Linked DNA regions of Canis lupus familiaris. The main gene of each other region encodes a partner of the protein of the gene in region 2 in a complex. Links are inferred from orthologs where the notes say so. Each region holds a gene or a part of one and is shown on either strand. Other genes may lie near its edges.

Region 1 (3,747 bases), on a different chromosome or scaffold from region 2:
CTGTATGCTAACGAGGCCCCTATTCATGATTTAGTGCGATTTCATCCACCGGGAGATTCCCCGCTGCCCCGTGGAAGCCTGGCTTCACCGAAGTCTCCCAATTTCGTCGGGGGTTCGCCAGTGAGGAGTTCACGCTGACTTGGAGCAGACACAGACTCTGAACGCCTCGGGTCCTACCGGATTATTCAGTGGCAAATTTTTCCACCGTGTACCTAAGTAGTGAAAGGTGACGCCAGAATCGCGTGTGCTACTCCCCGAAAGAGACTCTGGCAACACCTTCTGTCTAGTTACTCTCTTTCCTAGTAGCAGAAAGCGTTTCCAAAAAGTTTCCTTAAACCTCCTCTGTCCCCAAGCCTAAAGGTCAGAGCGCCAGGTCCCACTTGGCTCCCCGGCCGGCCGGAATCTGACCATTTCAGAAGTTTCTGGTGTGTGTGTAGATTGGAAGAGGTCGGAGTGGGGAACCGCGCACAGCGACCACCGCGCATTACGTAACGAAAGCCCTGGCTGCCGGAGGGAGCGAGCCTGACATTGAGACATTCCAGGGGGAGGGGAGTTGCTGTCCTGGAGTCGCCGGGAACGGCGGCAGCAGTTCCAAGAAACCGAGAGAGAGAGAGAGAGAGAGAGAGAGAGAGAGAGAGAGAGAGAGAAGGTGGCCGAGATAAAGAAAACACTACAGGAATGAGAATGTTAAAAAGCCTTGGACCTAGAGCATTAGCAAACTGCTGGGCACGTGTAGTAATTTGTTAGACGAAACGGCAGCCTTCCAACTTTTGCACGGGAACGAGGGGATTTGCCCTTTGGGGGATTAAAAACGTAACAGCAAAGCCAAAAGCTAATGAATGGGGTTCAGTGGTTTGTTGGCAATACTTAAATATTTCTGTCCAGGAGCGCAAACTCTCTGCAATTATTTAGAAAGTAGGGACTCAAACCAAACTAGAATACTTTCCCCGTGCGTCTCCACTTTCCCAAATCCGAAAAGGAGCTGCTCTCGCGGTACTGCCCCTTTAAGACCTGCTTGCTCTCGGGCTCTACAAAAGGGAGTGACCTCTGGGCTTTGACAGCTCCCCTAATAACTACCACCGTGCAGGCCCCGCCCATCTGGCGACCAGCAGCGCCCATTGGCCAGCGGGCCGGTATCCCGTGCTCTGATTGGCTCGCCGCTTCCCCTGAGCGAACCTTTAGAACTCTGAGACAGACAATATTCTGTTACATTGTAGCAAAATGGCGACTGTCATTCACAACCCCCTGAAAGCGTAAGTAAGACTAAAAAATGTACATATTCCGCCTGGTTTCAATATGAAAAAAAAGGCGCCTTCCGCGTGCCAAGCGCTGCCAATGCACTGCGCTTGCAGGCGCCTGCAGCCGCGGCGGGGCTTCTCTTTTCTTTCAGCTCTTACTTCTTCATCTTCTTTTTTTTTTTACCCCCAACGCGCAGAAATGTCAAGAGATGCAATTAACAAGAAGAAAATTGTTACGTTTGTGTTCTGCTTAATTGGAAGACGCACGGAGAGGGGTTTTCGGCAGGGGAGCCAGGCGCTCGAGCGCTCTACGGGGGGGGGGGGGGGGGGGAGGCGGGCGGTCGTGGGCAGCTCGGGGACTGCACGGTCCCCCGAGTGCCCGGCGTCGCGGGATGGCGAGCGCGGCGCGGGGGGCGGCCGAGCTGGGGGCGAGCGCCGGGCAGGGGCCGCCTGGGTGCACTTGGCTGCGCCCCGCGCCTCCGGAGTCCGCAGCCCCTGCCCGGCTGCTGGGTCCGCCGGGGCGAGCGGACCGTGGCAGCTCCGGAGTTTGCAGGGCGCTTTACGCCTTCCGATCGCTCGCGGGGAGTTTGTGCAAACCTTCCGGAGTTGGGAGGACCGCAGGGGGAGCAGTGGGTCCCGGGAGCCCTGGGGCCCAGGTGATTGCCCGGGGGCTTTCCTGCCGGGGCAGCCCCCCGAGCGTGACCGCGCTCCGGGCGGTCGCCGGTGTGTCTGCGTGTGTTCGCGGGCGAACTGGGTGTAGTGTATTAACGACTCGGGTTAACTTGGGGTTGATTGGGAGGCAGGGAGGCTGCAGGTCTTATGAATGGTGTTCTTGCCTCCTCTGGGTGAAAAACCGAGGCGGGCGGAGAGGCAGCTTCTGCTCCCGGCCAGAGCGAGGGGCAGGTGCCTCTGGCCGCCGCCGGGAGACTTTGAGCGGACGCCCAGATCCCGGACGCAGGGGGGCGGGCTGGGCGAGGACATGCGGGGACCAGTCCCCGGGTCCGACTGCCAATTCCTGCCTGCCTGCCTTCCTGCTCCTTTTCGTCCTGGCTTCCTTCCTTCCTTCCTTCCAGTCGATGGAAATGTTAAGCCGCCAAGTCCGATCGCGATCGCGGAGCCGCTGGAGGCTTCGGAAAACTAGCGTCGCCCTACAAGGGGTGCTATTGGCAATGATATTGGCAGAGGAGAGCTCGCTCCCCCATCGCCGCGCGACGTGGGTCGGGACTCCCGGTCGCCGCGCGGCGTGGCTCGGGGTCCGCGCCTCTGGGACCAGGACTTCCCAGCCGGGGTGGGAGCCGCGGGCGAGGGGAGGGGGAGATGCAGGTGGGGGGCGTTTCGTGCAAAATTCTCCTGGCTGTGTGGCCGATGCCCGTGCGGGTTATTTCAACTCAGCGCACCGCGCTGGCACCCCAGGCTCCTCCTGGAGTTGAAAACCACGTTCGCACCGGGGGAGGGAGGGAGGCTGCGGGGGGTGTGGGGGTGTTTCCTAGCGCAAAGGAACGCGCGAGGGTAATCGGACGTGTTTGCACCAGCTTATCTCCCATCATTAATAGGGGAAAAGGTAGTAAGGTCCCCGGTTCGGAGTTTTTTTTTTTTTTTTTAATATACATGTATTAAAGCTGCGATTAAAGCTGCGATTAAGAGGAAGCTGGAAGCTGACGCCGATCACAGAACAGCCCCCGGCTTTAGTTCTCGCTCGCAAGCTCGGATACACTGCACTGGAACGCCACAACGTTTCAGCCAAGAAAGAAAATGTTTTACAGCAGAATAAATGGGCGTAACTTCGCCGCATCCTCGCTCCCCGGTCGCTCGCGCAGCCACACCGCTGATGCTGTGAGTTTCAGCCGAACCTCCAGCTGATTTGCAGTTTCCCCATTTCCAGCCGAAATCACATAGGCAGGCTGATGCCACCTGGTAAACTCAAGTTAGAGAAATCTATTTCACATGTGCGCCAGATTTGTTTCCTACTGGGAAAGCGGTACCAGCGTTACCTTGGAGCCCGCTCACGCGCCGGCAGGCGCAATATCTCTAAACGCTCCAGGGTTTGTTTCCCTGCCGGCTCCGGTTTTTTGTTTGTTTGTTTGTTTTTGAACTGCGGAAGGGTGCGTGTTTGGCGAGGGTGTCTGAGTGGGGTGGGGTTAGAGGTGGAGGAGGGAACAGAGAAGGGGGCTGGTTTAGTGGAATTAGTCCTGAATTATTAAACTTATACTTTGTAATAATTAGAGACAGTTGCAATGACATGTTTTGTAATTCTGTGTCGACACACACACACACACACACACACACACACACACACATACACACGCGCGCGCGCGCACGCGCTAGCATACACACAACATCCCTGCCTGCCTTTTCTAGACGGGAGTTGAGTGGTCATTTTTTAATTAGCTCCTCCTTTTTGCATCCCAAACCCTTTCCCTGGAGGAAAGGGGGTGTAAACAATACCCACCCCCTCTCCCGGACGAGCCGAACCTCCTGCGCTCCGGACGGCTTTTAAACTCCTAATGCA
Region 2 (3,647 bases):
TTTTGAGGTAAAATTCACATAACATAAAATTAACTTTTTTGATGTCAACAGTTCTATGCCATGAAACACATTCATAATGTTGTGTAGCCCTCATCTTTTTCTACCTCCCAACATTTTCATCAGCCCAAAAGAAAATATGTTTTCATTAACCAGTTTCTCCCTACTCTCCTTGCCCTTGGCAACCAACCATCAATTTGTTTTCTGTCTCAATCAATGTATCTATTCTGGATCTTTCTTATAAATGGTATCATACAACATGTGACCTCTCATGTCTGTATTCTTTCACTTAGCATAATAGTTTCAAGGTTCATCCATGCGGTAGCATATATCAGTATTTTATTCTGTTTCATGGTGAGTAACATTCCATTGCATGGATATACCACACCACAATTTGTTTTTCCAATTAATCCATTCATGGACTTCTGGGTTGTTTCCATCTGTGGCTATTGTGGATAGTGCTGCTATGAACAGTTGTGTATATGGATTTATTTCAGTACCTGTTTTCAGTTCTTTTGGATACATAAGTAGGAGTGGAATTGCTGGGTCATATGGTAATTCTATGTTTAACTTTTTGAGGAACTGCTGATTGTTTTCCACAGTGGCTGAACCATTTCACCTTCCCAATGGCAATGTACAAGTGTTTCAGTTTCTCTATATCCATTTTTTTCTTAATTATTATTAATACTCTAGTGGGTATGAAGTGGTATCTCGTGATTTCAAATTGCATATCCCTCATGGTGGCCAACAATGTTAAGCATCTTCTCGTGGGTGGTTGGCTTTTGTGGCTTTAGGTCTTTTGGTTTTTTTTTTAGAGATTTATTTATTTATTTATTTTAGAGAGACAGAGCATGAGCAGGAGGAGGAAAAGGGGAAGGGAGAGAGAATCTCAAGCAGACTCTGAGCTGAGTGCAGAGCCTGATGAGGGGCTCGATCTCACAACCATGATATCACAACATGAGCCGAAACCAAGAGTCAGGCACTTAACCAACTGCACCACCCTGGTGCCCCCCTTTTTAGAGTAACCTCTATGCCCAAAATGGGGCTCAAACTCACAACTCCAAGATTAGGAGTTTCATGCTGTACTGACTGAGCCAGCCAGGTGCCATGGATTTATGTCTTTTTTAAATTGCCCCTTTATTATACTTTTCCTGGGATCTTGGAAGGGGATAAAACTGGATGTTTGTATTCAATCCACAATTTCTACTAGAAACCCTCTTCCCAGCTTTCATGCCTTTGAGATGACTTAAATGGGGAAGAGGGATAAACCGGAGGCTGATAGAATTATACAGTAAAGAACAGTGGGCCAGAAGTCAAGAGACTATAACTCTACCAAGCTCTACCAAGGGCTTTGTGTGTGAACTTGGTCAAGTCACTCTCCCTCTCTGAGTTTGGTTTACTTCAGGGTTTGGATTATAATCTTTAAAATTCTTTGTACTTCTCACATTCTAGAGTTATATGTGGATCTAGAGACCTGACCTCTGTCCCCAGTCCAAGTCTTCTGTGTATGTGTGTGTGTGTGTGTGTGTGTGTGTGTGTCTGGGCCTCTCCTTTTTTGAATCCTCCCCTCCTGCACTTTCTCCCCAGTGGAACACACGGGCCAAGCGGGAGAAGCTGACAGAGCTGATGTTCGAGCAATACAACATTCCTGCCTTCTTCTTATGCAAGACAGCTGTACTTACTGCGTATCCTCTGGCTTGAGCTGCTCTGGCTGGGTGGAGGGCCAGGGTGGGGTTTATGTGGTGTGTCAAGCTGGAGGCTGGACCTGATTCTGTGGAGATTAGTGTCCTGGATGGGCAGACACCCACCCTGTGCTCCATTAGTGCAGAGGGGCCCCTGTACACTAAATGCCTTTGACCCTGGGGTGGCCAGATCAGCAGTTCTTTCCTATTCCTTGGATAAGACTGAACAGAGAGAGAGACAAAGAGGGAGGAAAGGAGGGAGAGTTGGACCATAGACAGCAGGGGCTGCAACTGAAGAGAACAAGGAAGAATATATAACAATCAGCATTCATTTTTTTAAGGATCTACCTTATGTTGACCCCTGTGCTAGGCACTGGGGCAATATGGCCCCTCATTTCAAGGAGCCCACAGAACACTGAACCAAGATTAAAGAGAAACTGGGAGCTCAGAAGAAAGAAAAAGAGGGAAAAGTTGTGATTCAGACAGGGAAGAAGTGACAGGAGTCTCAGGAACCTTTGTCCTGTGATGGGTCATAAACCAGAATGAGAGATTTGCAGAGTGTGAATGGACTGGACCAGGAGATCAGAGAGTGACCAGGGCAGACCTGAGTCCCAGTCCCTTCACTTGCTGCTGCTGTCTCTTTGACCTACCCGTCCCACACCAGCTTTGCAAACGGACGTTCCACGGGCCTAGTGCTGGACAGTGGGGCCACCCATACCACCGCCATCCCAGTACATGATGGCTACGTCCTACAGCAAGGTGGGGCCTCAACAGGGGTCGGGGACTCCTTGGGGAGGACCTGGCCCTGACACCCCCTCCCTTTCCAGGCATTGTCAAGTCGCCCCTAGCAGGGGACTTCATCTCCATGCAGTGCCGGGAGCTCTTCCAGGAAATGGCCATTGACATCATTCCACCTTACATGATTGCTGCCAAGGTGGTGTCTTTGGGGAGCCTGGGGCACTTACCCTATGACAGTTGACCCACTGACCCACTAGATATCAGAGAGAGGAGTGTCAGAGCCCCCAGAGGACCCTGAGTCCAGTTCCTTAAGTTATAATCAAAGCATCAGAGATTGGACAGGCTGAAGGACATGGCCAAGGTCATACAGCTAGCTGGTAACAGGAGGTATGAGGGCCAGTGCGGCAGACCCAGGTTCAAGGTCTGCCTCTGCCATGTAAGAGCTGTGTGACCTAGAGCAGATCAAAGCTTTCCGAACCTCAGTTCCTTCCCCTGTGAAGTGGAATTACAGCATATACGGCAGCTGTGAGTGTTGAGACACTGAAAGGGTCCGCCCTGGACTCCCACATGGAATGTGGCTCAGGAAAGGCTACTTCTTTAAGGTTCTCGTCTCCCACTGTATCCCCCATGCCCTCAGCTTTCTCCAGCCTAGGCCTTTCAGATCAGCTGTACCTGTTGCATGAGTGGCAAACATGGGGACAGGCTCTCCCCATTCTCTCTCCTTTGAGAGAGAAGGAGGAGGAACACCTTTTGTGGGCAGCAGAGCAAAGAACTCAGTGCCTGTTAGCTGCAGGAGCATGGGTGTGGTCAGGGTGGGCTGGGCAGGAGTGGAGTGGGAAGGATGCTCATAGGCTTTGTGCCCCCAGGAACCTGTACGGGAGGGCGCCCCTCCAAACTGGAAGAAGAAGGAGAAGCTCCCCCAGGTTTCCAAGTCCTGGCATAACTACATGTGCAATGTGAGGAGACGGTCCCCTGAAACAACCCCTATCCCTCCCAGCTCCTGCTCCCCTGCCATGAGTAGAGGGGAAGGGACAGAGAGGCCCTGCAGGGGTGGCTTGGGGGTGCTGAGGAGGGACACCAGGCCCTCACTGCTCACCGTGTCCCTGGGTCCCCAGGAGGTGATCCAGGACTTCCAGGCCTCTGTGCTACAGGTCTCAGACTCTCCCTATGATGAGCAGTAAGTGAGCCCATGGCTGAGGGATGGGACAGGGGGCAGGCCTGGGATTCAGA

What was found. The genes of interacting proteins can lie anywhere in the genome.
Region 1: ACTL6B (region 2) and DPF3 share a complex: the UniProt entries of both Homo sapiens proteins name them as parts of the BAF complex. The link is inferred for Canis lupus familiaris from reciprocal best matches to the Homo sapiens genes ACTL6B and DPF3.

What each region holds. Positions count from the first base shown.
Region 1 is NC_049229.1:46,575,557-46,579,303, reverse strand, and holds the start of DPF3 (zinc finger protein DPF3), read left to right. Parts: upstream 1-1,188; 5' UTR 1,189-1,221; coding exon 1,222-1,253; intron 1,254-3,747. UniProt on the Homo sapiens protein: Belongs to the neuron-specific chromatin remodeling complex (nBAF complex).
Region 2 is NC_049227.1:8,998,080-9,001,726, forward strand, and holds part of ACTL6B (actin-like protein 6B), read left to right. Parts: intron 1-1,584; coding exon 1,585-1,682; intron 1,683-2,343; coding exon 2,344-2,438; intron 2,439-2,506; coding exon 2,507-2,613; intron 2,614-3,283; coding exon 3,284-3,373; intron 3,374-3,532; coding exon 3,533-3,594; intron 3,595-3,647. UniProt on the Homo sapiens protein: Involved in transcriptional activation and repression of select genes by chromatin remodeling (alteration of DNA-nucleosome topology).